4 linked regions of the Cricetulus griseus genome follow. The protein of the gene in region 4 binds, or shares a complex with, the protein of the main gene of each other region. Links are inferred from orthologs where the notes say so. Each region holds a gene or a part of one and is shown on either strand. Other genes may lie near its edges. The genes, in order: Vps72, Mbtd1, Anp32e and Ing3.

Region 1 (6,863 bases), about 140 Mb from region 4:
GCCTTTAATCCCAGCACTCGATGGGCAGAGGCAGGCGGATCTCTGTGAGTTAGAGGCCAGACTGGTCTATAACATAAGTTCCAGGACAGCAAGAACTGTTTTACAGAGAAACACTGTCTCAACCTGCGCCCCCTCCACAACCAAGAAAAATAAGCTGGATAGCTCAGTGGTTAAGAGCATTGGCTGCTCTTCCTGAGGTCCTGAGTTCAATTCCCAGCACGTACATGGGCACGTGGTGTCTCACAAACCATCTGTAATGGGATCTGATGCCCAGAAAGACAGAACACTCATAAACATGAAATAAATAAATCACTCAAAAAAAAAAAAAAAAAAAGTCAGGTAGTAGTGGTGCATGCCTTTAATCCCAGCCCTTGGGAGGCAGGTGGATGTCTGTCAGTTTGAGGCTGGCCTACAGAACAGGACAGCCAGGACAGCCAGGGCTGTTACACAGAGAAATGCTGTGTTTGAAAGAAAAGGCCTCCGAAGGGAGTGGCACTATTAGGAAGTGTGGCCTTATTGGAGTAGGTATGGCCTTGGAGGAAGTGTGTCACTGTGGATACAGGCTTTGAGGTCTCACACATGCTCAAGCTTTGCTCAGTGTAATAATCAGACCACTTCCTGTTGCCTGCAAGATGTTGGACTCTCAGCTTCTTCTCCAGCACCATGTCTGCCTGTATGTAGCCATACCGCACCATGATAATGGACTGAACCTCTGAACTGTTAAGTAAGCCACCCTAACTAAATGTTTTCATTTGAAAGAGGTGCTATGGTCACGGTGTCATTTCACAGCAATAGAAACCCTAAGACACCCTGTCTCAAAAAAAAAAAAAAAAAAAAAAGGGTGGGTGGTGATGGCACATGCCTTAATGCCAGCACTTAGGAGGCAGAGGAAGGTGGATCTCTGTGAGTTTGAGGCCAGCCTGGCCTACAGAGGGAATTCCAAAACAGCTAGGGCTACTCAGAGGAACTCTGTCTCAAAAAACAAAAACAAACAACAACAAAAAGAGGAGGAAGAGGAGGAGGAGGAGGAGGAGGAGGAAGAGGAAGAGGAGGAAGAAGAGAGGAGGAGGAGCTGGAGAAATGGCTAAGTGGCAAAGTTAAGAACACTGGCTGCTCTTCTAGAGGACCCCAGCACCTGGCAACTACATGGCAGCTACAACTGTTTGTAACTTCATTCCAGGGGATTCAATCTCATGTTCCGGCCTCTGTGTATATCATATGTACATATGTGAATACTGTATTCACATACATGCAGACAAAACATCTATAGACAAAAACAAACAACAGCTCATATCATCAAGTGCTATCAAACAATAAAAAGGCCTAAGGACAGGTGTGACAGCCAAGACTACCTCTAGCATTTGGGAGGCAAAGGCAGGGAGATCTTAGCTGAGGCCAGCCTGGGCTATACAGACACCTCCATCTCAAAAGAGAGAAAAAGGGGAGGGAAGAAGGGAAAGAGTGAGAAAACAAGGTGAGAGGGTATCCCAGTAGTGAACCACATGTCCAGCATGAACAAGGCCATGCGTTCAATCCTAGCACAAACAAAATTAAACAACCCAAGTAGACAAATACACTCACATATTCATACCATACAAAAAGGATTTTACCATTTTATTAGATTAAAAAAAGAAAACAACATTCTAACAAAACCAGAATGAACTAGGAGAAGAAATGGTGAAAAAAAAAAAAAAACAGCAAAGCTCATCGAGGACAAAGGGAAGAGGAGGAACTGAGAGCCAGGTCGGCAGAGGAAAGACGTTTCTATGGAGCAGGAATCTATTTAATGACAATTTTCTGACGCAAGGCTCGTGGTCCAGAGCCAGGGAGTGGCTCAGGGGGTGGGGGGCCAGGGCCTAAGGCTGAGGCAGCAGGGGGTAGTCCATGGGCAGTGATGTACTTCTTGTAGGCCTCACGAATGATCTTGAAGGCTCGAGCAGTGGCATAGGGTATGTCTGTAACAGGGTCCCGGTACAATGCTGGACGATGGGTCACTGGGCAGACCTCCCGAACAGGGACCTTTGGGGGTCGCCCTTGGGGAAACCACTCTTCAAATGTTGCATCATCACTGAATGTGATGAAGGTACGTGAGCAGTGAGCAGGAGGGACAGCAGGTCCAGAGCCAGCATGTGCAGTCAGTGCAGAAGCTGTAGGAGCAGGATCAAGTCTGAGGGCAAAAGACAGAAAAATTACAAAATGCCGAGGAGAAGGCAAGGAATCAGGCTGGGTGTGGTGTGGTACATGGCTGTATTGTCAGTACTTGAGAGGCTGAGGGAAGATGACTCCCCTGAGCTTCAAGCCACTGGAGAGACAGAGCAAGTACCTGTCTCAATAACAAAAAGCTGGGCAGGGAGCTGGAAAGACGACTCAGCATTTAAGAGTACCACCAGCTACTCTCCCAGAGGAAATTGGTTTCACTTCTAGCACCCAACAGCGGCTCACACCACCTGTCACTCCAGTTCCAAGAAATCTGTCTCCTTCTTCTGGCTTCAATGGGCACCAGGTCCGACATACGTACAGGTAAAATATTGATTTACATTTAAATAAAATAAAATAAAAATGCTGGGAGGTAGTAGAGCATGCCTTTATTGCCAGGTGGATCTCTGTGACTTCTAGGCCAGCCTGATTTACTGAGAGACTTCTAGGGCTGCACAGAGAAACCCTGTCTCAAAACAAACAAACAAACAAATCAACAAAACAAAAACAAGGCATGATGACTCACAATTGTTATCCCAGTACTAAGGAGGAAGATGCAGGTAGATCATGGGTTTGGGACTAGCCTGGGCTACACAGTGAGACTGTTCAAGAAAACAAAACAGGAAGGAATAAGCTGAGAGAAGGATGAGAAACGTCTGTAGGAGGAAGTAACCTCTAAGAGAAGCCAGGGAGACGGGGTTCACTCACCCTTCCACGTCCACATTCTCCTCCTTGGGACCAGGCTCCCCAACAAGTGGCACTGTCACTGAATGGTAGGTGATTACTGGCCCAGGGCATTTGCGCTTCTTGTGAACCTGCTTCTTTTTGTCAGCCTCCAGCCTTTCATAGGTCTCTGCAAGAGGATCAACAGGAGAACGAGGGAAGGATCAGTCTATCTTTTCCCACACGGTAGCTCTGGCCGGTGATCTATTAAATTACGTGTGTGTGTGTGTGTGTGTGTGTGTGTGTGTGTGTGTGTGTGTGTGTGTGTGTGTGTGTGTGTGTGTGTGTGCGCTCTCGAGTACATCTGCACACGCACATGTGCACATGCATGTAGAGGTCAGAAAACAACTTGCCAGAGTCAGTTCCCTGCTTATATTATATGAACTCCAGGGATCAAACTTGGGTCAACAGGGTTGTTGGCAAGTACCTTTACCTGCTGAGCTATCACAGATCTCACTAGGCCCTGTCCTATGATCTTAATTATTAATCTAATCACTGCTACTCTGGCCAGCTATAGAAGTCCTTCCTTTCTCAAATATAAGCAGGTCCTTACCCACTCAATACTGGAAGAGGCCTTGTGATAGGAACACACTGATTTCCATTTCTCCCAACCCCAAACGACCACCAACCTGCTCCTGGCTCAGACATAGTCTGTCCAGTTTTCAGATGAAATACAATTCCTGATGACAGTTTCCCTTTTTTATTTGAGGTGTGTTGGGGGTGGAGACATGGTGTCATTATGTAGCTCTGGCTGGCCTTGAATTCAGAGATCCATCCACCTGCCTCTTGCTCCCCAGAAAGTGCTGGGGTTAAAGACGTGCACCACCGCCACCCCACGAGCCGGAACTAGTAAGTGTGAACTTTCTAATCATTTTGCCTCCAATCTCCATTTGTCTGGTCCTCCAGGTTTCAGTTTTCCTCATGCACCTCACAGACTGACCCAGTGAACGTAAGTTGAGCTCTTCTGTGATCTTGGCCTCCCTGAGCAGCTCTTCCTGGGTTAGTGGTCGCTCACAGTGGGGACCCTTTCGCCTCCGGGACTGTCCTTGCCGTTCCTGAACGCGAAGGAATGTTTGTCGAGTATGCTCAGCTGTAGATTGACGCATAGACTTCCGACCTGCAGAAAGTAAGATGGGAAGAACTCTTTGAATTCATTTCTACTTTCTTTCTTCTTCTTTTTTTTTAATTTTTAAAACACATTTCCAAAATCCTGGCTGTCCTGGAACTCACTATGCAGACCAGACTGACCTAGAACTCAGAGATCCTCCAGCCTCTGCAGTGATAGGATTAAAGGCATGTAACATCACGCCCAACTAAAACAAATTTCCTTTCTTTTGTTTTTTTGTTTTGTTTTGTTTTTCAAGACAGGGTTTATCTGTGTAACAGTCCTGGCTCTCTTGGAACTCACTCTGTAGATCAGGCTGATCTCGAACTTACAGAGATCTGTCTGCCTCCGCCTCTCCAGTGCTGGGATTAAAGGCGTGTGCCACCACTGCCTGACTCAGCCTTCATATTTTTAATTTTGAGACATTCTCACTAAATTATCAGGCAAGCTTGCTCTATAGCACAGAAGTTGGCCTTGAACTTGTGATTCTCCTGCTGCAGCCTCTTGAGTAGTTATGATTACAGGCCTGCACCATCAGACTAGGTCTATTTCTAAGAATAATGATTTTCCCGAGTTGAAGAGCTAGCTCAGTGGTTAAGGTGCTTGTTGAGCAATCATGACCACTGGAGCTCAGACACTAGCACACATGTAACAAGCCCCACCCCCAAAACTGCAACTCTAGCTCTTCTGGCCTCTATATGCATCTGCACATACAAGCATACATACGATAAAGTAGGCTGATACACAGACACGTCCCCATGAATGTACACACACACACACACACACACACACACACACACACACACACACACACACCCTCCTTACATGACAAAACAGTTATCAACCTTAGTAAACTTAGTTCAGACAGAACATTTAATCATCACATTTAAATTCTGTCAGCAGATTTAAACTTACTGTCAGAGCCATCATCCTGCAGCTCCAGTGGCAGCAGTGCCTTCTCCTCTCTGGCCTTCTGAGAGCTACTTGCTGGGGTGCTGACTTTTCGAGGCCTCAAGCTCTTTAGAGGCTCCTGGGGACAAATTAGAATCAGATACCAGAAAACAGAAGAGATAAGGGTAAAGTTGAGGATTTCATCAGACAAAACCAACATCCAGCAAGAGGAGAACACAATTAAAACAGTCCAAGCAGCTGGATGTGGTGGTGCACACCTTTAACCCCAGCGCGTGGAAGGCAGAAGCAGGTGGATCTCTGCAAGTTTAAGGCCAGCCTGGTCTACAAAGCGAGTTCCAGGACAACCAAGACTGTCACACAGAAAACCCTGCCTCAAAATAAATAAATAAGTAAACAAATAAATAAATAAGAGACAAACAAACAGACAAATAGAAGTCCCCCCTCCATTCCACCCCTACCTTCCCACCTCCAAAAAGGTTTCCTTGGTGTCCAAGGAAACAAGGTTCCTTTGTACCTTATAGGCTTTGGTGACGACTCTGCGCTTCCTTCTTGGCTCTTCTGCTTCTCCATCACTGGATGGTTCATCTCCTTCATCAATGTCAAAGTCAGAGTCTACCTCATCCTCTGTATCAGACTGGTCTCCCTGATACTCATCATCTCCAGATTCCTGAGGACAAAGGAAGATGGGAACTGACTGGCTCTGTTAATGCTCCTGGAGGAGGAAGTGGATCAAAATACTCCCCTGACAGTGACTCTCGGATTCTTTCCCATTTAGCTTTTCACAGAAAAAGCCTTTCTGATGGTTTCTAGTTGAGTAACACTGCCTGCCTTCCAGTGTTACAGACAGCTGGCCTATATCATCTATAACACCATGTTAATTACTGGAGGTCTAAAGGATGTGGTTTGGCCTCATTTACTGAAGGATAGAACTAGCTATGACAAGAACTTGTAGCTGAGCCATGAGTCAGGATAGTTCATGACTATGATCCCACATTCAGGAAGTCTAGGCAGGAAGACTGCTGAGTTTGAGGGGAGCCTGGGTTACACAGTGAGATCTGGGACAGCATAAGCTACAGAGTGAGACTCTATTTGAAACAAAACCACAAATAAGTTTAAAAACACAAATAAATAAGTTCTAAAGTAAGGAAACATAGATATAAAATTCCTTGGCTAATTAGAGGTTCAGGTCAAGCCTGGGTTATAAGAGATGCTATTCCCAAAAAAACTGATTAAGGGCTGAGGAAATAGCTCAGTTGGTAGAATGCTTATCTAGTATGAAAGAGGCCTTAGTTTCAGTCCCCAACACTGCATTAACTTGGTGTATCCTTGCACAACTGCAATCCCAGTGCTAAGGCGGTGGAAGCAGGAGGAGCACAAGTTCAAAATCACTGGGGGCTGGAGAGACGGCTCAGTGGTGAAGAGCACGGGCTACTCTTCCAGAGGACCCAGGTCCAGTTCCCAGTACCCACATGGCAACTGTCTGCAACTCCAGTTCCAGGGGATCTGACATCCTCATACAGGCACAAATGCAGGCAAAACATCAATGCACACAAAAATATAGATAAACAATAAATTACAAATAACAATCACAAAAAAACAAATTCAAAGTCATCTTTGGCTATGTTGCCAGTTTGAGGTCAGCCTAAGGAACATGAAACCCTGTCACAAAAACATAGAACCTGGGGCTAGACAGATGGCACTTACTGCAATTTTGGAGACCTGGGTTCAGGTCTAGGTACCCACACAGCAGCTGACAACCACCCGTAACTCCAGTTCCAGGGGATCTTACCCTCTTCTGATATCCATGAGCAGTGCATATATTTTGTATTCAAACAATCATATAAGCAAAACATCCATATACATAAAAGAAAAATAAATTAGCTGGGCAGAGGTGACATATGCTTTTAATTCTGGTGCTCTGAGATAG
Region 2 (7,732 bases), on a different chromosome or scaffold from region 4:
GGCAGATCCCAAACCAGACCTACAACAAATTCTCAAATGTTATAGTAGGACTAAAAACCACCACCTTCAGGAAAGGGGTGTTTTTAACTAGTGTCTTCAAGAGATGAGACCAGTGATTACACTGTCCAATTTGGAGATATATGGCTGTTTAAGTTGACATTAAGTGAAAACAATATGATAAAATACTAAAGGCTTCCATTCATTAACTACATTTTAAGTGTTCAATAGCCACTAAGGCTGATGGCTTCCATACTCGCTAGCACAGATAACACACATTTCCATGACTGCAGAAAGTTCTATTAGACATCAACAAATGATTCTATACCAATCCTTCAACTATAAGGAGAAAAATCAAGGCATCTGATGCCATCCCACAGCCATGGGGCTAAACAGTGGCAAAAGTGCAACTCAAGCCTCTTCTGACCATTGTTCCCCTGACTACCACTGCACCCCTTTTCTTACATTCAGGGTTTATTCAAGCCAATTTATAGCCTTTTAATCTTTCATTATGCTTTCTAGCAAAGCCAGAAGAGAAACTGTAAATTCATGGGGGGGGGGATACTTAATAAAAAAATTGAGGATTAAGAAATAGTAAGCTCTTGGCTGGGGATATAGTGTCAGTAACAGAGCTCAGGCACACAGGAGTTCTGGGCTCACTTACCACCACTGCATAAGCTAGATATGGTGGTACATACCTATGAACTACACTTAAGTTTGAGGCCTGAAAGGGATACCTGAGACCCTACCTCAAAACAAAAACTCCACAATAATCTAAAATAATAATAATAATAAAACATGCATCTTTAGTAAAAATAAAAGTTACCTGGGACCATTAAGGATACCCTATTAGAAAATGAATCTAAGTTTGTAAACACTTAAAATCTTTTCTGTCTTTATGGTTTTTCCTGTCATGTATTTGAAACCCTGAAACTAAAGACAACTTATTGTCCTTAGTTAAATCTTCTGTTGTTTTTGTGAAATGGGGAGTTTTACTAGATAACCCAAGTAAAGCTGTATACTCTGCTCCTTGGGTGGTAGGATTAGAGGCAAACACCACTGGCTTAGATAGACATGGAAACAATTTTAAAGATGAAAAGGTGAGAAATAAGGAGCAATTCAAAACAATTGACTTCTCTAATTTTAGAATGTGCTTATTCAGATCACCTGAGCACTGCTGGCTTTTGGTAATTTAGTAATTTTGGTAATTTAGGATATGACATCAATATACCATTTATACTTATAAACAACAATTATGCTTTAGTTTGAATACTGTATTTTAACATAATTTGCTTTGTTTTTAATTTACAAAAGTAACTAAGGGACAAGAAGGAACACTGGAATATCTGGAAGACTAATATAATAAGATCCATGTATAGCCAGCCATAAAAATACAGCAATGCCCTCTTTAAAAATAAGACCAGTTGTGGCTAGAGAGATGGCTCAGAGGTTAAGAGCACTGACTGCTCTTCCAGAGGTCCTGAGTTCAATTCCCAGCAACCACATGGGGGCTCACAACCATCCATTATGAGATCTGGTGTGCAGATATACATGGAAGCAGAATGTTGTATACATAATAAATAAATAAAATCTTTAAAACAAACAAAAAACCAGTTGCCGGGCGTTGGTGGCACACACCTTTAATCCTAGCACTCGGGAAGCTGAGGCAGAGGCAGGAGGATCTCTGTGAGTTCGAGGCCAGCCTGGTCTACAAAAGCTAGCTAGTTCCAGAACAGGCTCCAAAGCTACAGAGAAACTCTGTCTCGGGGAAAAAACAAAAACAAAACAACAATAAAAAACCAACCAACCAAAAAAAAAAAAAAAAAAAAAAAAAACAACAACAAAAAAAACCAAACCCAAAACCAGTTGTTCCTGTCTAGTATGTTTAGAATGCAAACGCTTCCAAAGTCAGTCCAATTATGTCATGACAGTTCATGTTAAAGTTAGCAGGAAAAAAACTTGAAAGCCCATACTGACTCAAACTTTGAAAACATGAGTAAAGAGCTCTGTAAATTTTCACAGCTAGGATCCACTAGTGACTAGCCCTGAGGGAAATTCAAGCTCAAAGTTACAAAATGGTTAAAAACCTTGGCTCAGGAGAAGATATTATGAACAGACACTTATTCAAGACAGCTTTTGCCCTAATCTGCAAGGCATTTGCAATCCTTGAATATGGGGTTCTATATAAATAGAAGCTACTTGTTATTCAGAGGAGGTGGTGCAAAAACAGCTATTTTCTTTCTAAACACTCTTTGGTGTTGAGGTAAACAGTCTGAAACACACAAGAGCAAAGCAACTGCTCTATCATAGGCTGGGGAACAGGAAAAAGTTTGCTTTAACAGTATCAGGAGATACTGGGAGTTAAGCACATCAGTGGGTGCCAATATGTATTTTCAAGTGAACTACTAGGTGACAAATTCTGCTGCATATTAATGTAGAGATGATTAAAAATACTGAAAACTCAAAAGTAAACATTAAAGTGTTATAAACACTTTAAGTTTCATATAAGAATTGTTGGGGGGGGGAAGGTTGCTCAGTAGGTAAAAGTCTTGCCGACAACCTTGATGACCTGGGTTTGATACCTGGGTCCCACATGGGAGTTGAGATGATGACTTCAACCTGTCCTCTGACCCCCCCCCCAATGTAGCATGCGCTATCCCATAATACACTAATGTTAAAACAAAACAAAACAACCCTTTGTGCTGCACAGCCTTCCCTTTTTGTAGGGGGCTGGGTTTGCAAAGACCACAAGTCAAATCGATAGGAAGGAACAGTTTTGATTGTTTTACCGGTAATTGCCTTCATCAGCTTCAACACTATTCCTTTCTAGGCCCAATTTTAGACATTCTTAGGAAAAGTGATTCAGGCACAGGCAAATGTAACTGGCAGTACTAAGGAAATGGAGTTAAAATTCCTAATCTCAAGAATACCAGCGAGACAACCATGAAATCCCCACGTAGACATTCTCTAGCTTCCCGAGAATACTATCAACTACCTTTAGTCATGTAAGCAGCACACTTGCAACCGACCCGGCAGGCAAAGTTTTCAGTTGGCCTTCACTATCTCTTAACTCTCCCCACCCCCCTTCCTCCACTTCCTTGCTCTTCTTTCCTGGCAGGAAAATATAGGCCAATGAGCAGTGGGTGGGTGAGGAGGATGTGAGAACAAATTTGAGAAGTAAAAAAGGGAGCAACTTAACCAGGACATGAATGAGGCTGAAGGGTCTAATAAGGGCAGACAAACGAGTATCGTTATCAGAAAGACTGAAAATAATGGAAGGTGCTTTCCTCGGCGGGCGGCAGTGCGTGTCATTATGTATGCAGGTTTAAGTAGAGGTCAGACTACCTACCACTTGTCAGAAGCTGGACAGGGGCGGCTGCTTGGGGTGACTTCTAGTGTCTCTTCCGACTCTGAAATGTTAGGATTACTAGTTCACAAAGGAGAACGAAAGGATGATGGAAGCCCACCACCGCCTTGGAACTCTTCTGAAGCAGCAGCCTCGGCCGCCGACTCCCCGACACCACTCCTACGTCTCCCTCCCACACGTGCCCACCCCGCCCCCTTTCAATATCAGCACCTCCACGTGCAAAATGCCTCACGGCACTGGCCCCACACTAGTGGGCACCTTCCCCTGCAAAGCCTTCAAACTCTGATTGCGCCTGCCCCCACACCCCAGAGAAGGGAGGACACCACTCTCCCACCGTTGGCAGCTTAAAAAAAAAAAAAAAAAAAGGAAACTCTCCTCCGATCTAGCCTTTCTCTTCAGCCAGAACAGGTGGGTGGGGGGGAGGGCAGAGAAAAACTTTCTTCTCAATTCTTCTCAATTTTTTTTTTCCTCCCAGAGAGTAGAGAGAACCCCAAGTCACAAGTTGAGGGGGGAGGGGAACCCCTTGAACGTTTAACGGCCAGCAGGGGGAGGGGAGCTCTGGAGATGGAGGGGGCGTGGGATGAAGAAACAGGCCCGCGAGCGGGGTCCCGGAGCTGCGGGGTTCCTGGGGCCGGGCAGCTGCAGGCGTCCCCCCCCCAAACCTGGCACACAAAGCGGCTGCTGCGCTCGGCTCTCACCAGATCCTTTGTGTTTTCCATCAGGGCCTCATGGGTAGGGGCCGTCCGTGCTCCCCGAGCCCGCGGCGCCCCCTCCCCCCCGAGCAGGGGGCGGGCACCTCTCCCCGGGACTGCGGCGACTACAGGGGGGGACCCCCGGCTGGGCCCGAGCCAGTGGCGGCAGTGGCAGCCCCCGGATTTCCCCCCTTTAACTCGGGTGGCCCCAGGATATCAACAACATTAGCATAGCCCTCCCTCCCCAGCGCGCCTGCGCCGTGACCCGCGCCCCGATTGGCCCACTTCCCCACGTACCCACCTCTCTCCCCTCCAGCGTGGGACCCTCGGCAGGCTCCGTACTCAAGGACCGTACCAAAACCAGAAGGCGATGAGGTAATGAGGGCTCGCGGCAAGGCGTGGGGCCCGGAGTCAGCAGGAAGAGAAGTTTCTTTCAGCCACTTTCATTTCTACTCCGGCCCTCTTGAGTCCCTTCCAATATTGCTGCCTCTGAGAAGTTGTGCTGGGAAAATTTTCCACCCCAGTCACGCCGCTTCCCCCTACACCCGGAAGATTGGCCTTCCCTGAGGAACTCCCACACGGGGAGGGGCTGTCGGACGGAGTGCGAGTGACGTAGCGCGTGAGTGCCGGTCACGTGGCGCGAGGCGGCGCAGGCTCCTTCCGGCTCCCCGGGGCTGGGCCGCGGCGGGGAGCGAGACGCCCCGGCACATGCGCAGTGGTGCTCCACGTGAACGTCTGCGTTTCTCCTCAGACCTGAGGATGCCGCCGGAACGCAGGAGCCGGACGAAACCAGACCGGAGAGCCGGCGCGATGCCGGGGAGGGAAGCCAGGCCCGGGAGCGGCGGCACGCCCCGAAAGGCCGCTCGTTCATCCCAACGGACACCGCAGGCCGGGCAGAGGACGGCCCCTAGCGCGGTCACGGCGGCGGCGGCAGCGGCGGCGGCGGCGGAGGAGGAGAGCCGGCTTCGGCAGCGCAACCGCCTGACGATCGAGGACGACAAGCCGGCCGCCGAGCGCTGTCTGGAGCAGCTGGTCTTCGGCGACGTCGAGGACGACGAGGACGCGCTGCTGCGGCGGCTGCGGAGCTCGCGGGTGAGGGAGGCCTGCTCGCGGAGCGGGCACACGCTGCCGCCGGTGCGCGGCGGGAGGCGAGGCCCGGGGGCGGAGCCTGGGGACCTGCGGCGGCGAGCGCTCAGGTGGGAGGGACCGTCCGACCGCGGGCGCCGAGGGGGCACCGCTGCGCTCTCCGCCTCCGGCGCTGGGCCGCGAGCGGGCGAGGGCGGAGACGCGGTCTTTCTCCGCCCTAAAGGGGCCGCGGCCCTTGGCATCCAGCAGGCGCTCAGCTGCTGCCTTGATTGCCAGAAGGTTTGCCTGCTAACTGGAGAGTTGGGCATCTTCGGGTTCTGATAACCCTCTGCTGGAACCTCCCCCCCACCCCCCGGGGTAGCGGTGTGCTCACCTGTCGCGAGTCCATTTCGTGGATGGAGCCAATGGCGTGGGCGGAAGGCGTAGAGCTGCGTTTTAATAATTTCTCCGTGTGAGACACACGCCCAACTTTTTTGAGAATGATCGGTGTATTCGACTATAACGGTTTTTTTTTTTTTTTTTGGATGCTAGTTCTTCGTAGCAGTTATAAATCCTTCGTGATTGATACAGTTTTGCGCTGTCGTTATTTTCGTTCTGTACCGGGTCCCCCGTCTAAGGTAGAGCGTCCCAGGTATTGTTCTAGGTACCGGAGGGAGACACAGCAATGGAGAAAGCCAATAAAACCCCTGATCTCATGGAGCTTGTGTTAGTAGCGGTAGAAAAACAAGGTAAAGGAGTACGATGGTGGAGAGGAAAATGAAAACATTTGGGAAAGGGAATTAAATTTAGCTAGGGCTGTTGAAACGCCTCAGTAAGAATGCCAGCATTTGCTAAATTAAGCTGACCTTTTGTGTGGGTGCTTCAGTGAGAGGATGTAGCAGTCTCCTTTGGGAGGTGGAGAACAGTTACTTTCCGAGCTGTGTGACAGAAAGGAATCCTTTGGTGGGCTTTGAAAGACCTTACGTCAGTAGTGCAGGTGGATACTGTCATTGACTTCTTGGGCACTGTGGTGTGGGTTGGGGGAGAGCTCGGTTCATTTCGAGGGGATTTTATTTTTTCTTGTGGAGTATGTTTAGGTTTGAATGTTGCATGAAATTTTAAGGAGGTTGAGACCAAGCACACAGAACAAGAGACCCTCCTTATAAGGGTAGGAGACAGATTATGTTTTGTGGGATTCTAGATGGCCCTGGGTTATTTAATAGTTGAAGCTTAGAGGTTTGTTCTTTACCTGTCCACTTACCTTTTTCCCTGGTCTACTGTGGTCTTTTCCTTTCAGTGTGCTTGCCTCTCCTTGACTGTTCCATCCTGCTCCTCCTGCCCACTCTTCCTGGTGGTTTTGATCTCATTTCCTGCCTTCTCCTTCAGCATGTGCTATGGTCGTATTCCATTACATTATTTCATCAACAGACCAGGAAAGCAAAGCATTCTACAAGCCATCTAAGTCTAAGGTGTGGGTGTCTGCCCCCACCCCATAGGAAAAGCACAGTAGCCTGAAGGATGGTGTGTCTCCTTAGGGTCACCTACATGGAAGCTCCGATGACTCTGAAGTGGAAGATGAAGCCAAAGACACTCTTCCTTCTCAGAAGAAGCCAGTTTGGGTGGATGAAGATGATGAAGATGAGGAAATGTAAGTTACCCATTCCTTTCAGAATCCCTCCCGACACTTTAAAAGTTAACTTGTAGATTTTTACAAGCCATTGTCTTGGAAAGTATGATTACATGAAGAATTGAACATATGGAAGTGCAGGAAAAAGGTGGTTCACAATTCTGTGTCTGAAAGAAAGGCGCTGTTAAATTGTCTTTCCTTGTCTGTGTGCAGGATAGACTGCTTAAGTAATCAGTGGCATTAGATCTTAGCTTGCCTTTGGTTCCTGACTACCTCAGGACAAGTTTGGAATCTCTACCTCTTCATAAGTAAAATGAGTGTCAGAATAGTGACTGTAGCAGAAGGCCCTTCAGATTTAAGTGATGCATATAGAATTTTTAGCATAGTGCCTGAAACTCAGTGAAGACGTGACATAAAGTTAGCACACTGTATTATGTGAGTGTATACTACATACTTACTTTAACAGTTTTACCTTTTCTATCTAAAAGTTATATTTGAAGCATGGCACCTCACTTTTGAAGAAACACCTTTATGAACAGTTTTAAATGGCTGTGTTGTCCCTGTATGAATCAAAAATTTATTGAACAAATGAATTTTTCTATTTTTCATTTCAGAATGCTGACGTAAGCATCTTTATGAAAAACCTTTTGTGTTTCTAATTGATTTCTTAAAGATTCTTTGGGGGTATTATTATTTGAACAGAGACTACATGTATTATAGGGCTACTGATAAATACTGTCAGATTGCATGAATGTTTATCTTCCCCATGTAAAGTGTGGGTTTCAGGTTTTTTGTTTTCTTTTTTATGATCAGTGAGTGTTATTTTGCAGGCTTTCTTAAATTGTGGTTAGGGAAATTGATACTAGTTATGTATATTATATATATTCTCTGTTGTTTTTATTAGCGATCTTAGTGTCTCAGATTTCTTTGTTTTTTGTTTGTTTGTTTGTTTGTTTTCCGAGACAGGGTTTCTCTGTGGCTTTG
Region 3 (7,957 bases), about 140 Mb from region 4:
GGGCTGGGGCTGCTACAGTTGGGGTGGCTGGCTCTGGGGCTGGGATTGGGACTGTTTTGGGGAGCCTCATCATTGGTTATGCCAGGAACCCTTCTCTGAAGCAACAGCTCTTCTCTTAGGCGATTCTGGGCTTTGCCCTCTCAGAGGCCACGGGGCTCTTTTGCCTAATGGTGGCCTTTCTTCACCATGTGAAGCTGCTGTCTCCACTTCCACCTCCCGTAGTTCTTTTGTGTCCCGTCTGCCCTGTGTGTCCCTTTTCCTGTACCTCCCCAGGAGGTCTGGGGAAAGTGCTTGGCTCAGGGTTTGACAGAGAGAAGACAAATAAATAGTGTATTAATAAGAAAGAGAGAGAGAGAGAGAGAGAGAGAGAGAGAGAGAGAGAGAGAGAGAGAGAGAGACTGGGCTATAGGCAAGCCTGTAAGGTATTTTCTTAATTAGTGATTGATGTGGGAGGGCCCAGCCCATTGTGTGTGGTGCCATCTCTGGGCTGGTGGTCCTATCAGAAAGCAGGCTGAGCAAGCCATAAAGAGCAGGCCAGTGTGCAAAACCCTCTGGGGCCTGTGCATCAGCTCCTGCCCCCAGGAGTTGACTTTAATGACTTTTTACAGTGCTGAAGTGTGAGCCAAATAAACCCTTTCCCTTCCAACTTGCTTTTTGGTCATAGTGTTTAGTCTTAGCAATAGAAACTAGGACAGCAACTTAGTGAGACCCTGTTTCAAAAGTGAAATGTAGGTTTTAGGATAGAGTTCGGTGGTAGAGTGCTTGCCTGGCATGTGAAAGTCTGAGAAGAAGAAAGGGAATGATATTTAGTTATTCAATGTTTGGTGCTATGGATTGAACATTAGGGCCTTTTGCATGCTGAGTAATGCTCTCCCAACAAACTATACCCCCAGACCCAGACTAATCTATTTCACCCTTCCTCTGTATCTAGACTAAGTCATTTTCAGTTTTTATCCTCTAACAACAATTAGAATACTCTCATTCATATATATTTATAAACTTGTCCAGCTGTTGCTGAGAAGTGGACTCTTAAGTGAGTAGTGCAGTTTTTCCTTCAACATTTCACCTTGAAAAAAAGTTAATTCAGGCTAAAGGAGGTATAATTTATATGCAGTAAAATCACCCTTTTTAGTGCACACTTCCATGAGTTTTGACAAATCCATTGGGTAACTTACCCCATAATCAAGATACAGAACAGTTTCATCACCACCACCCTTGCAATAAGTCCCTTGGGCCCCTTTGTAGTTAACTTCTCTTCCCACACTCATCCTTTGGTAACCACTGTTTTCTGACCCTATAATTTTGGCTTCCTCAGCACATCTTATGGATCAAATTACACATCCTTTGGATGTGGCTTCTTACACTTAGCATCATTCCTGTTGCTGGGTATAGGGAATTTGCTACACTTTATCACTGAGTTTCTCTGTGTGTAGACCACATTTGCTCACTTATTGGCAAGCTGGAGAACATCTGGTCCGTGTCTAGGTTTGCAGTATTGAACCACTTTCAATGTTGACATACAAGGGTCATACTGTAAATGCATGTTTAACTATATAAGGGACCGCCAAACTTTCCCACAGTGACTATAGGGGTTGTCATCCCCACTAGATGTATACGAGAGCTCATTCTTGTTTTTGTGCATATGTGCATGCTGTGATGCAAGCAAGTGTGTGGATACAGACATGTGGAAGCCAGAAGACACCCTTACATGTCATTCCTCAGAGCCTTGCTTTAAAAACTTAATATTTAAATACTAAGATAATCTTAGAGATATATGAATGTTGCTGTTAAATTGACTTTCTCCCTTTAATTTGGTCAGGGATCCCAGCAGGTAAGATGCTACCACCCAAACCAGGGCGGTGGTGGCTCACACCTTTAATCCCAGCATTTGGGAGGCTGAGGCAGATGGATCTCTGTGAGTTCAAGGCCATCCTGGTTTACTCTCATCAGTTAAATCTCTCTGGAAACACTCTCGGAGACATACCCTCTAGGTGATTCTAAATCCAACCAAGTTGATGAGGAAGTTCAATCATCCTAACAACCTTGGCAAAAAATAAATTTATTAATAAGTAGGAAAATATACTTATTAACTGTATAACAGAAGAGCATATGAAAATTCTATAGCTAGGTTTCTTGCATTGAATGTGTCTGTCTTGTAACTGTGTACATTGGATTTGTAGGCTAGATTGCTGTGGAACTAGATGAATTCATATTCTTTTAGCATAGGCCAGGAAAAGTAGATACAAGCTTAAAGACCAAAGATCCACTTACCATGCTTTGTTGTGTTTATGGATAGTCTATAAATTCAGTGTCTAGCTACATACATAACATTATTATTGTTAACTATCCTAGCAGGGGTTAGATGAGCAGATATCTGTTTATTGTATCTTATGCCTAGTAGGAATATGAAACTGTAGAGGATGTCTATCAAGGTGGCTCAGCAGGTAAAGGTGCTTGCTGCCAAACCCGACAGCTTGAGTTTGAACCCAGGAACTAGCTCAGTGGAAGGAAAGCACTTGACTCCTGCAGGCTGTCCTCTGACTTCCTATACATCGCAAAATAAGTAAACAAGTGTAAAGAAGCTTGGCGATGTTGGCACACGCCTTTAATCCCAGCACTCTATCTTTCATTTTATTTTACATTTTTTTTTGGTTTTTCGAGACAAGGTTTCTCTGTGTAGCTTTCCTATCCTGGCACTCTCTCTGTAGACCAGGCTGGCCTCGAACTCACAGAGATCTGCCTGCCTCTGCCTCCCGAGTGCTGGGATTAAAGGCGTGCACTACCAACGCCCGGCTCAGTACTCATTTCTTACTTAGGTTTTCAGTTTTTGTTTTGAGATAGAGGCTGGCCTAGAACTCACTTTGTATACCAGGCAGTTCTGCCTGCCTCTCCCTTCGGAGGTCTGTGACCATTATGCTTCGTGTGTACCATTATGCTTCGAATTACAGAAACATTAAGTAGACTTTCTTTTTAAAATGTATTTGAGTGTTTTGCTTTAATGTATGCACACGCACATCTGGCCCTGGAGCCTGTGAAGGTCAAAAGAGGCTATTGAATTCCCTGGAACTGTAGTTATGGATGATTGGGAGCCCTCATGTGGGTACAGAACCAGGGTCCTCTGCAAGAGGACATCGTCTCTTCAGTGCCTCACATACACTTTAAAAGAACACTTTAAGTAGATTTCTGCAGGAAACTTACCAAAGGGAAATGGGAAATTGGAAATTGTGTTTTCTTTAGGCCCGTGCTGCTTTTCCTCCAAGGTCCCAACTATTTGCCAGCGACAAATGACCTCAGTATCAACTCCCACAGGACAGTTTTATTTAAAGGTTTCTGACTCAACGTGCTAAACTCAACTGCTTCCAGAGTCGTTTCGCCTTTGACAGTGGAAGTTAAAATACCTTCTTTATCACGCTCTGGTGAACGCCAGGGCCGTTCGAGACGGGGAGGTGTCCCGAACTCGCTGCTCTTGCGTTGAGTCCCTGGCTCACTGGGTAAGCCGCATAGCAGGGAGCTTGTGCTTTAAGACTACCGAAAGCTCTGGAGTGCGGTGCGCTGGATGACCGACCCGCTTACACCCTGGGGACGCCAGCGACGCCCTTTCCCTTCCTCTAACCCCGAAGCCAGAAAGCCCTCAAACAAACAAAAACAAATTCAATAGACAGCCAAACCGTCCCACTAGCGAGGGAAAGCGCGCCAATCACACAAAGAAAAGGAGGGGGGCGACTGGGATTCAAAATCGTTTCTCCGGGACGTACATCCTCCCGGACCTATCGGAATTAACTGCGCGCTTGCTCAGAGCCAATAGACCCCGAGTTTCTGGTCCGGGGCCCCCCTAACGACGGATGGGCAGTCCTCTAAGCCAATGGAGTGGCGCGACGCTAAAGGCTCGGCCAATGCAGTCGGGAGGTGGGTGGAGCGTAGGCCAGGGGGTTGGCGGTGCCGTGTCATGGAGGCTCAGTCTCGCAGCAGCCATTGAAGGGGAAGGAACTGCGGGCGGGCGCGCGCGTGTCTCTCTCTCTCTCTCTCTGTGTGAATGTGTGTGCGTGCCCGTGTGTGCGCGCGCGGGTGTGTGGACTAGAAGGTGGGGGCAGCCGAGTTAGTCCCAAGTCGTCGGACTCCATTTGCTATTCTTTTCTTTCTCCCCCACACCCGGGTGGTAGTGGGCGTTCGTCTTTGCGTCTCTTTTCATTCATCTCCAGACCTTTAGGGGTGTTTTAGGGTTGGGGGCAGTGGGGAGGGCAGGCGAGGGGAAAGGAGGAGGACATGGAGATGAAGAAGAAGATTAACCTGGAGTTGAAGAACAGAGCCCCGGAGGAGGTGAGATGACTCAGCCCCCACCTTCCCCTCCCGCCCTGTGTCGCGAGGGGTGGGCTTCGGTGGTCCCGGTGGGTGCGCGGGGCGGACTGGGAAACGCGCCCCCACTCGCGGTGGGGGCGGGGTGTTTATTTTAAGTTTTAAATCGCCAGGCTTCTTGTGCTTAAAATGGCGAAGGGCTTAAGTTTCTAGGGGCATTTTCCCGGGCGCGCGGGGGCTCAGCCCCTCGGCGTCCCCGCAGTCTGGCGGCCCGGCCTCGCGGGGGCGGGCGGCGTGGGCGCGACCCCCGGGCCTTCGCCACCTGCGAAGTTGGTGTAACTTTCCCGCGGTGCCGCCATTCGGCCGGCCGCGGCCCGGGGCGTGGGTCTCGGGCCGATCTGCACCCTGCGCTCCCTCCGGCGGTGCCCACTCGCGGGCGGCGCGCGCCGGGCCGGCGCCGGCGCCGGGCCCGGGCGGCGGCGGAATCCCGGGACCCGACGGCGCCGGCCGCGATCCTCGTGGCGCGCGGACCTCTCTACGCAAGCCCGTGGCTCGTGCGAGCCGCGCAGTGCCGTGTGCGGTCGTCGGGAAGACTCGCGGGCTGGGAGGGGCCCCCGGAGGCGTCGCCTTCGAGCCCCCCGCCGTCGGGTTCCCTTGCGGTTCCCGCCAGGTTCCTGGGTCGGAAGCTTGGGCCGCGGCGGGCGGTGACGGCGCCTGGGGCTCGCCGGTTCGCGGCTGCTTGAAGACGAGGGACAAGGGACCGGCGCTACGGTGGTCCCTTGACGCCCTAGCAAAGGCGCCGGTCTGCCCGGCCTTCGCAGTCACCGTGCAGAGCTACCCGTGCCTGAGCCCTGTTCTTTTCTGTGGCGGGTTTGCGGGTTTCTGCCGACTTCAGCCGAGAGCGAGGTGGAGGAAACATTGTTTCTGTAAGGGTTATTATCGCTGGGAGAACTAGAAGTTTTCTAGAGCTTTTTAGAAGATTCTGGAATAACTCAAAGTTAAAAAGCTGTCCATCAGCAGGGCATGGTGACTGATACCTGTAATTCCCAGCCTTTGGAGGCCGAGGTAGGAGGATGGCTGCAGGTGGGACTCTGTCGAGCAGGGCAAAACAAATCAAAACAAGCAGTTTCTCATAAGCCTTAGGTGCAAATGTGGGCCTCTTCCCGCATCCTTTCGCCTCCAATTTGGAGAATTGCGGGACATTGCCATGGTGTAGTAACAGGTTTATATAGACAGTTTATTTTTATTTATGTTTTTGGCTTTTTAAGACGGGGTTTCTCTGTAGCTCTGGCTGTCCTGGAACTCCCTTTGTAGACCAGGCTGACCTTGAACTCGGAGATCCACCTGCCTCTGCATCCCAAGTGGGCCACCACTGCCCGCTATATGGGCGGATTATAAAGTGCCCAGTTTACTTTCTCCTTGGAAAACTTGTAAACTGGGTTGTATTGTTTTAGAATCCAAATTTGCAAACAGGAGTCCCAAGACAGTGTAGTGGCGTATTCTGGCGGAAGAACTGGGTTTCTGACACTGGATGTACAAGGCCTCTTGCTGAGCTCTCTTAGCCCTGGATAAGACTGGAATCCAAAGGCTTAAGAGGTGCCTGGCGTGATAGTGCACGCCTTTAGTTCAGTTCTATAATCCTGACACTCCGGAGGCAGAGGCAGATGGGTCTCTGAGTTTGAGGCCTATCTGATCTACAAAGCAAGTTTCTGGTCAGCCAGGACTAAATAATGAAATGCTATCTCAAAAACAAATGAACCGGAGGGTGGTTTCACACACCTTTGGTTGCAGCATTCACTTTTAATCCCAGGGTTTGCAGGCACAGATATCTGAGTTCGAGGCCAGGCTGATCTACAGAGTGAGTTCCTGGACAGCTAGGGCTACACAGAAAAACCAAAACAAAAAACAAACAACGCAAAATAAAAAAAAAAAAAAAAGGCTTAAGAATCAAGACACCCCACCATACTGAGGGTGTGACCTATTAATGCAAGTCATTTTTTTTCTAGACCTTGGCTTCCTGGTCTCTAAAAGGGATGTTATGGTTCCATTTCTGCTCATTGGAATAATGATTGCCAAAGTTACACCCAAGTAGAGAAGATGGCATTTGTTGTTCCTGATTTTTAGCCTTTAAATAAACATTTTTGTACTGGGGACAGAGAACCAGGATCTGATTAGGTCTATTCAGGTGCACTGGTAAGTTTGTTACTACATCTGGGATCTGGGGTTGGAGTGATGCTCAGTAGTCAAGAGCACTTGTTCACATGGTAGCTTCCAACTGCTACCATTCCTTCTTCCACCTCGGAAGGCACCAGGTATGCATAGAGGTATCCATATGTAGGAAAAACACCTGTACACATAAAATAAAAATAAGCCTACAACTCAGATCTAATAAGAAACCCAGTTCTGAGCTGGAAAGATGGCTCAGGAATTAAGAGTACTGGCTGGTCTTTGGGGGACCAGGTTTGAATTCCTACAACCCACATGGTGGCTCAGAACTGTCTGTAAGTTCAGCCCTAGGAATCCGACACCCATTGCTTCCGTGGGCATTGCATGCACAGGGTACACAGACATACATGCAGGCAAAACCACTGTCTGTCTATCTGTCTTATCTACCTACCCATCAAACAAAACAAAAAAGTGACCCTCCCCCTTTACTACCAAGTTCCAATGTTGTGGTTGGTATTTTGGTTTGGTAGGTTTTTGTTTTTGTTTTTTTAAACAGGGTCTTTCTCTCTGTAGCTTTGGTTGACCTGGAACTATTTAGACCAGGTTGGCCTCGAACTCATAGAGATCCGCCTGCCTCTGCCTCCCGAGAGCTGGGATTAAAGGCGTGTACCACCAACGCCCAGCGGGATTGATGTTTTTAATATTTGTGTTTTTAGAGTGTTCAGACACAGGTCTATTGCTATGCAGACTAACTGTTAATATGTTTCTTCTGACAGGTGACAGAGTTAGTCCTTGATAACTGTTTGTGTGTCAATGGGGAAATTGAAGGCCTGAATGATACCTTTAAAGAACTGGAGTTTCTCAGTATGGCCAATGTGGAATTAAGTTCCTTGGCCCGGCTTCCCAGCTTAAACAAACTTCGAAAGGTGAGTTGGGAGTAGTTTGTGGACACCATGGTTTTTATGCTGAGGCTGGGTGGTGGTGGTGCATACCTTTAATCCCAACGCTCAGGATTCTTTCTGAGTTCGAGACCAGCCTGGTTTACAGAGCTAGTTCCAGGACTAGTAGGGCTGTTACACATAGAAACCCTGTCTCTAAAAACCAAAAAGAAAGAAAGAAGAAGAAAAGAAATCTTTAAATTTCTTGAGATAAGAAAAGGGAAGGAGACTAGAGACACGGTTCAGTGGTCAAGAGCACTGGCTGCTCTTCCAGAGGACCTGGGTTCAATTTCCAGCACACAATTCCCAGTCACAAATGTGACTCCAGCTCCAGGGGATCCAATACCCTCACACAGACACACATGCAGGCAAAACACCAATGCACATAAAATAAGAATAATTAGTTAACTAATTAATTAAAAAGAAAAGAGCTGGTCAGTGGAGACACATGCCTTTAATCCCAGAGCTCAGGAGGTGGAGGCAGGCAAATGTCTGAGTTCAAAGCCAGCCTGGTTGGTCTATAGAGTGAGTTCTGGGACACAGAGAGCGCTAAAAAACCA
Region 4 (7,272 bases):
GAAACATGTGCTGTGGGCTGTTTGCTTGCCCCCTCCTTGCTGAGCATAATGGCCCATTTCATGGGGAACCTAGATCAGAATTATGGTTTATAAAGAGGTGGAAGTATTATGCCCAGTTTGTAGTCCTCTAAAGTTTAAAACTGTGTGAATTCTTTCTTTTTATTCAGAAAGGAAATATAATCCAACTTCTCACCATACAGCAACAGATCACATCCCCGAAAAGAAGTTCAAATCTGAAGCTCTCCTGTCCACCCTCACGTCTGATGCTTCTAAGGAGAGCACACTGGGTAAGTTGGTGCTCTTCAGTGTGGTAATTCCCTTGTTTTGTTTGTGTTGGAGTAAGGGCACAGAGAAGCACTCAGGGTTATTATTCATACCTGTGTTACCTGGCTAAAGTCTGCATGTGGATGGAGAATAGAAAAGGAAATTTGGCTTCCGTTTTTTCCATTGACTCAATCCCTAAAGTGCCTGAAGAATTTAAATTTCATGATTATATATGCTGAAAAATAATGTATTTTAAACCCGCAACATTGTGTTCTCAGCCCCCATTTTTATTTCTTTACCTCTTTACAGGTTGCCGAAATAATAATTCCACAGCTTCCTCCAACAATGCTTACAATGTGAATTCATCCCAACCCCTGGCATCCTATAACATTGGTTCATTATCTTCAGGGACTGGTGCAGGGGCAATCACCATGGCAGCAGCTCAAGCAGTGCAAGCAACAGCACAGGTGAAAAGTCAAAGGTTTAGAGGCAAATGTTACCTTTTGCTCCTGTTCTTGGCAACCCCCAATAGGAACCACTAGGTTCGAAGTGACGGGTTGAAGACATTGCCTGGTTTCGGTTTGAAGTTGACATTTAGGCTGGGTGTTGTTTTATTAATAATGCAAGGGGTTGTTGGGTAGAGAGTGCACTGTGGGTATCACACGCCCACCTTCTCCCAGTCAGTGCTCAAGTAGCCTGGTTCTCTTTGTGAGGACAGTGACTGTTCTTTCTGCAAAGTTAGGCTTCTGCTGGATTTGTGGTGGCTGCATTTAGCTCATTTCTGTAGTTTGCACACAGTGCAAGTTAAGAAGTTCCATTTCCCATAGTTTTTCTCAACTTAGCATAAAAATGATTTAGCATCTTTACATGAAATGACTTAAGTAACCATAACTTGTAATGCTTAAAAGAGAAAATACATATTTACATATATTAATGCTGTCAATGCCTGTCTACTTAAGATGAAAGAAGGACGAAGAACATCAAGTTTAAAAGCCAGTTATGAAGCGTTTAAGAATAATGACTTTCAGCTGGGAAAGGAATTTTCAATGCCCAGAGAAACAGCTGGCTATTCCTCCTCATCGGCACTCATGACAACCTTAACCCAGAATGCCAGTTCCTCAGCAGCTGACTCGAGAAGTGGCAGGAAGAGCAAGTAAGTTTTGGAGTGGAAGTGTGTGCCTTTGCTCAGTGCTGTTTGCATGGAGCCTCAGCTGGGCCTTTAGGAATTAAGTAAGGCAGGGTGCAGTGACCCAAGCAGACTGCTGGCGTGGGCAGATGGCTGGTGGCACTGCCTGACCTTGAAGGCTGGCAGTTGTTTAAGTGTTAAAGTCATTTGTAATTTTTTTGGACTTTGCATATAAGTGACTTTTTTTTTACTTTCTTTTGTTCAAGATAAACCATTTTATGGTACTGTTTCCATTTTTAGGTATTTCATGGTTAATTAATATAAAATGCAAATTGTATTCCAGGAAGTTTTTCCTTTTGATTAACAGTAAAACATCTAAATTTTTGCTGATGTCCTGAAAACTGATTACATGAAAATGTCCCTAGATTTGGTATGTGAGAGACTTAGGGTGATTGTGTGAACTGTGGAAATGAAACTTTGCCATGTTCATCTAAGGTAATAGATACAGCAGGTATTTATACAACTGAAATTCAAGCCAGGAGTGGTTGGTGCCTAGTACTTGGAATGCAGAGGCAGGAGGATTACTTTAAATTCAAGGCCGGCCTGATCTACATAGGAAGTTCAGGCCAGCTAAGGCTACAGAGCAGACGCTATTATCTGAAGATAAAAAAAGGTGCAAGTGCTAGGCCAAAAGAATTAATTATCTTACAGGAAACAGTCCACAGAATCAACTAACCAGGGCTCCTAGAGGCTCAGAGAGACTGAACCTACAATCTGGGAGTATACATGACCGTGGGATCGGAGGCTGTCTCTGGCTTTTTTTTTGCCTACTTTGGGGACCCTTTTCCTCCTGCTGGGTTGTCTTGTCCAGCCTTAATATGAGGGGATATGCCTGGTCTTATTGCAACTCGATATGCCATGTTTGTTTGATACCCAGGGAGGCCTGCCCTTTTCTGAAGGGAGACTGAGGAGGAGTGGACCTGGGGGAGAAGAGAGGTGAAGGGAGGAGAGGTTAACTCCTATTGGGAGTCTTCTTATGAGAATAAATAAAAAGGAAAAAGGAATTATCTAATAATTGTATTTTAATTTTATTTTTAAATGTATTACTTCTCTGCAAAATTCCTGAAAGACTAATCAGTGTAAAATATTCACAGAACTATTATATATATTAAAATTTATAGAATTGCCCAAATTTAATTTAACTCCTTATAGTAAGTTTCTGCATTTTAGAACTCTTGAATAGAGTTGGTGGTAAACAATTCATGAATTTTGACAATCTCAGCTCCATGTTCTAGACATGGTAGGCATAGGGCACCTACCCCTGATGTTGTAAGGATTTTTACCAAATACCAAATGTATATTTGCATTTAGGATTTTGATGAGAACTGTTCAGTTTACTGTGAAAATATAATATGATATAGTATAGCTACTACCAGAAGTTTTAAGTCAACAATAAATAGTAACTTTAATTTAGAAATTATTTTTAAAAGTTGAAAACATTTTAAGAGAATTTTCTCCTATTTATTTTAAATAGAGCATTTTAAAGTATTTTCTTCTCATTATTTTTATTCTCCAGAAATCAAAAATTGTAAATAAAAATAAACTATTACCAACAGTGTTGCTTTTCTTTGCTCTGGGAAGTTGCTTCTGAATGAGATTCTGTAACGTAGCATCAGGCATCAATGTGTCCTTTCCTTTTATGTCAGTTACTAGGAGTCAGTCTTAGGGGACCAAATGTGATAATAAAACTGATCTTTAATTTTATTTCCAGAAACAACACCAAGTCTTCAAGCCAGCAGTCATCTTCCTCCTCTTCCTCTTCTTCCTTATCTTTATGTTCGTCATCTTCAACTGTAGTACAAGAAGTCTCCCAGCAAGCAACAGTAGTGCCCGAATCTGATTCCAACAGTCAAGTTGACTGGACCTATGACCCAAATGAACCTCGGTACTGCATCTGCAATCAGGTAAAAGTCTGATGCCTGTCTGTAAAAGTGCACAGAATAAATAAGAAGGAAGATAACTGTTCCATTTCCAGCACATTTTTTATTCTAGCTAACATCAAGAATGACTTATTTGCATAATTTTCCTCTTATAAAAGTAACATACTTGTTGTAAATACCAAGAATATAATCGTGAGTTACACAGAATGTCAGCCTTCCAATACAACCTGTAGTGAGACACTTTGATGTCGTACCAGTGTGTACCTTGCTATATCTTGGCTAATGTAACATACTACTAGCCAAGTGGCTTACCCAGCAGAAACTCATATCATGGTTCTGGAGACAGAAGAAATCCAAGATTATGGTGCTTGTTGATTAGGTTCTTAGTAAGACCACTCTTAGTCTGAAGACCATTGCCTTTTTAGCGAGTGTCCATGGATGAGAGACAGGGGCATCATACTGTACATATGTGCAAGCATATGCCAGCTTCATTGTTTCTTCTCATCAGATTTTGGCTTTATTTAACCATAACCACAGACTCCTCACAGACTCAATCTTCAGTTATATGGGGTTATGACTTCAAAATAGTAATTTTAAAGGAATACAAACATTAATTCCCTATCAGTTATATACACATAATATATATGGATATGGTATGTTTGTATGTCTATGACATAATTTATCTTTTGCTCACTAAAACAAGGTTCTTTTTAAAATTTTTTCAAAGCTAGCTCTTGTGCTTTGTACCATAATTATTTAGTCTGTACCTAGCTGTAGATCATGTTACAGTTCTCATTTCTTTTAAATCACAGATATTATAAACATTATTTTTTAAAGATTTATTCATTATGTATACAGAGTTCTGCCTGTATGTATGCTTGCAGGCCAGAAGAGGGCACCAGATCTCATTATAGATGGTTGTGAGCCACCATATGGTTGCTGGGAATTAAAATCAGGACATCTGGAAGAGCAGCCAATGCTCTTAACCTCTGGGTCTTATCTCCAGTCCTAAATATCATTTTTAATGTAATTCCTTTTATACTAACTTTATATTAATCCATTCAAGTATAATGATGTTATAAATGTTTGATATGGTTTATCAAGATATATGTGTGTATACACATACACACACACACACACACACACACTATGTAAAATTGATATGCATAGCATTTCCTAAAGCCCAGTCAAGCACTATTATTTTTTTCTTAAATACAATGCACCAATTTGAAATTTTTGTATTACATGATCATTTTAGTGGGCTTTAGTATGTGTGCCTTTTAAACCATTTTATATTCTTATAAATTAACTTCTACCAGAGTTCGCTGTATTTTCTGTTGTTTTGTTATGTATGTTATTAATGTTTTGAGAGGCCCTATCTCAAAACACTACCTGGAGAGTCATTGAGGACACCTGCCTTCTCCCTCTGGTCTCAGTAGTAGACTCAGATGGCCTGTTGATGCAGAAGTGACCCAAGAGGAATAAAATCAGTCACTTGGTAGTTAGAGAGAAAGAAACTTTACAGTTTTACCATGAGGACTACCCCCACAAATCTGATCCTAGTCTGGGTGGCATACCTAGTGAATTCATTTAGACTTCCAAAGAGCCACAGTTCCTGGGCATATCCTCCTGCATTGTCCCATCGTCTTTTAAGAAAGACAACAACAACAATCACCATATTCCCAACTCCTTCGCTGTATTTTCTCTGTGAGTTTCTATCTGTTCTCTGACATCGTAAACACCTAATTTAGATTAGATACTTGTTAAGTAGTTATAATAAATTTGTCTAATTTTCTTTCAACTAGGTATCCTATGGTGAGATGGTGGGATGTGATAACCAAGATGTAAGTATTACATTTTCCATTTTGGAATGTAAAAAGTTGTAGATAATTGAATATTTGTCTTATTAACTATAATCTTCCAATCTGAAAATTGGGTTTTTGTTTATGATAACTATGTTATCATGATGGGAGCATCTACATGTCTACAGCAGGATTAAGTCCCTTCCTGAGTTCCCTGCTTAACGGTTTTCAAGGAAGTGTTACAGTGCTAGGTTCAGATTAAATTCTCAAGGTTTATTTCTGGCAATTCCAAGTGCTTTCCTTTCTTTCAGCTAAGATACAGTATTTGCTAAAGTCCAGGCCATTTACCACATTGAAGAAATGAGACTTTAAAGCCCTACATTCTTGTAGGTAGATGATGTCTGGGAATAATGAAGGCCTAATGGGATGTTGTTTCTCTCTCAGTATTGCAGCATTCAGCATTCCCTCCACCAGGGATTTATGCTGGTGCAAGCCATCTCTTCTCTGATGGGAAAATAAGAGGCAATATGAAGGAAGGTACTCCTGCTTCCTCTCTTAGGAGGTGTATCAGTTACTTGATAAGAATGCCCTGATGCAGAACAACTTACGGGAGGGAAAAGTTCTTCTTGCCTCACAGTTCCAGAGGGATACAGTGTGTTGTGGCAGGGGAGGCATGGCATCAGGAGTATGTGGTTGGCCTGGCCATCAGGAAGCTGCCTGATACTAAATAGTGTGCCCACACATGGGAAATAGAAAGGGGACAGCTAGCAGTAGTAGTAGCAGGGTATAAAACCTCCAAACCTACCCCCAGTGAAGTATTTTTAGCAAGGCTCCCTCTCCTAAAGATTGTAGAAACTTCCTAAACAGCTGGGGGCCATCTGTTTAAACACAGGAGCTTATCGGGGACAAACACAAACCACAACAGGGGCTTAATTTTGGTTAACTGCCTTACAGAAGAACCCCCTCTTTTAACCTCGAGGAGTACCTTGAAATCTGTGGCAGTAGTGACGCCAGTGGTATTGGAATCCTAATCTTACCAAGAGTGGAATTGTAAAATAGTCTAAAGAATAGCAAAGATGGCCTTGGTGCGGTGACAGTCATGTGTGTTTCCTCCCTGACAGGGTGGGTACAGTGTGTTCTTTAGATGGGCACAAGCCTTGAGCAGTTGGGGGCAGGGAGCTCCAAGCAGGGCTACCCCTACATTTCCAGAGCAGCACCCTGTTAGGTCTCTGGCAGCTAGAGAAGATGCTGACTGAGAGCCCATGTCCTCTGGGGTCCCGCTGCTTCCTCCTGTGCAGTGAAGTCTCTGAATGTTTCACAGAGTATTTTCCCCATATCTCTGAGTAGAGCACCAGAAAGGAAGCACAGCCATCCCACCTGATGTCTTTAGTTACCGATCACTCATTCCACTTCCTAAGAGAACAATTATGTCTGAATATCTTTAAATCTTTCACGTATTTCCCTTCTTCATGTAAGATCCATCTTCCTCTGTCCTTGGAGGTTGGTTCTGTCTGGCTGTCCAAGTTGATGACGCGGAGTGAATGTTCATTCTTTAGTGTTCAGGTCAGAGAAGCCTAGAGCCTCCTTTTTATCAAAGAAGCATCCTTTCTCTGGGCTTCCATTTCTTCGTCCATGAGCTGGATCAGCTCGGTAGCCTCTAAGGCACAGCCAGGATCCAAGAAATATGATTTCATAAATCTAATTTTGGTCAAATGAAATACTCTGTCTCCTGAGAGTTTTTTTACTGTCTATTCTTTAGACGTAACAACACTTTCAACACTTTTTTTTTTTTTTTTTTTTCATTTTGCTTTCCAGTGTCCAATAGAGTGGTTCCACTATGGGTGTGTTGGCTTGACAGAAGCGCCGAAAGGGAAGTGGTACTGCCCACAGTGCACCGCTGCCATGAAGAGAAGAGGCAGTCGGCACAAATAGAGTGCTTCCCGGAGGAAGGAAAAACTGCAGCTTGGCATTTTATTCAGGACTCTAGAAAGAAAGACACGAGAAAGAAGAAACAACTCATTTCCAGGCAACCACTTAAAGGATTTACATAGACAATCCTATAAGATCTTGAACTTGAATTTTATGAGTTGTATTTTAATAATGTAAGTAAATTATTTATGCACTCCTGGTGTGCTATGAA

What was found.
Region 1: Ing3 (region 4) and Vps72 share a complex: the UniProt entries of both Homo sapiens proteins name them as parts of the nuA4 histone acetyltransferase complex. The link is inferred for Cricetulus griseus from reciprocal best matches to the Homo sapiens genes ING3 and VPS72.
Region 2: Ing3 (region 4) and Mbtd1 share a complex: the UniProt entries of both Homo sapiens proteins name them as parts of the nuA4 histone acetyltransferase complex. The link is inferred for Cricetulus griseus from reciprocal best matches to the Homo sapiens genes ING3 and MBTD1.
Region 3: Ing3 (region 4) and Anp32e share a complex: the UniProt entries of both Homo sapiens proteins name them as parts of the SWR1-like complex. The link is inferred for Cricetulus griseus from reciprocal best matches to the Homo sapiens genes ING3 and ANP32E.

What each region holds. Positions count from the first base shown.
Region 1 is NW_023276806.1:61,379,349-61,386,211, forward strand, and holds the end of Vps72 (vacuolar protein sorting-associated protein 72 homolog), read right to left. Parts: intron 5,604-6,863; coding exon 5,451-5,603; intron 5,055-5,450; coding exon 4,940-5,054; intron 4,037-4,939; coding exon 3,860-4,036; intron 3,050-3,859; coding exon 2,905-3,049; intron 2,168-2,904; coding exon 1,780-2,167; 3' UTR 1,681-1,779; downstream 1-1,680. UniProt on the Homo sapiens protein: Deposition-and-exchange histone chaperone specific for H2AZ1, specifically chaperones H2AZ1 and deposits it into nucleosomes.
Region 2 is NC_048600.1:106,795,139-106,802,870, reverse strand, and holds the start of Mbtd1 (MBT domain-containing protein 1), read right to left. Parts: upstream 4,597-7,732; 5' UTR 4,358-4,596; exon of another isoform or gene 4,354-4,357; intron 4,305-4,353; exon of another isoform or gene 4,063-4,304; intron 3,408-4,062; exon of another isoform or gene 3,347-3,407; intron 1-3,346. Other genes in the region: Utp18 (U3 small nucleolar RNA-associated protein 18 homolog), read left to right, coding at 4,765-5,148, 6,657-6,769. UniProt on the Homo sapiens protein: Chromatin reader component of the NuA4 histone acetyltransferase complex, a multiprotein complex involved in transcriptional activation of select genes principally by acetylation of nucleosomal histones H4 and H2A.
Region 3 is NW_023276806.1:60,584,843-60,592,799, reverse strand, and holds the start of Anp32e (acidic leucine-rich nuclear phosphoprotein 32 family member E), read left to right. Parts: upstream 1-3,939; 5' UTR 3,940-4,263; coding exon 4,264-4,317; intron 4,318-6,466; exon of another isoform or gene 6,467-6,486; intron 6,487-7,235; coding exon 7,236-7,385; intron 7,386-7,957. Other genes in the region: ATP synthase F(0) complex subunit C2, mitochondrial-like, read left to right, coding at 1-119. UniProt on the Homo sapiens protein: Histone chaperone that specifically mediates the genome-wide removal of histone H2A.Z/H2AZ1 from the nucleosome: removes H2A.Z/H2AZ1 from its normal sites of deposition, especially from enhancer and insulator regions.
Region 4 is NW_023276806.1:205,238,952-205,246,223, reverse strand, and holds part of Ing3 (inhibitor of growth protein 3), read left to right. Parts: intron 1-167; coding exon 168-287; intron 288-573; coding exon 574-731; intron 732-1,223; coding exon 1,224-1,417; intron 1,418-3,161; coding exon 3,162-3,354; intron 3,355-5,135; coding exon 5,136-5,174; intron 5,175-6,947; coding exon 6,948-7,064; 3' UTR 7,065-7,272. UniProt on the Homo sapiens protein: Component of the NuA4 histone acetyltransferase (HAT) complex which is involved in transcriptional activation of select genes principally by acetylation of nucleosomal histones H4 and H2A.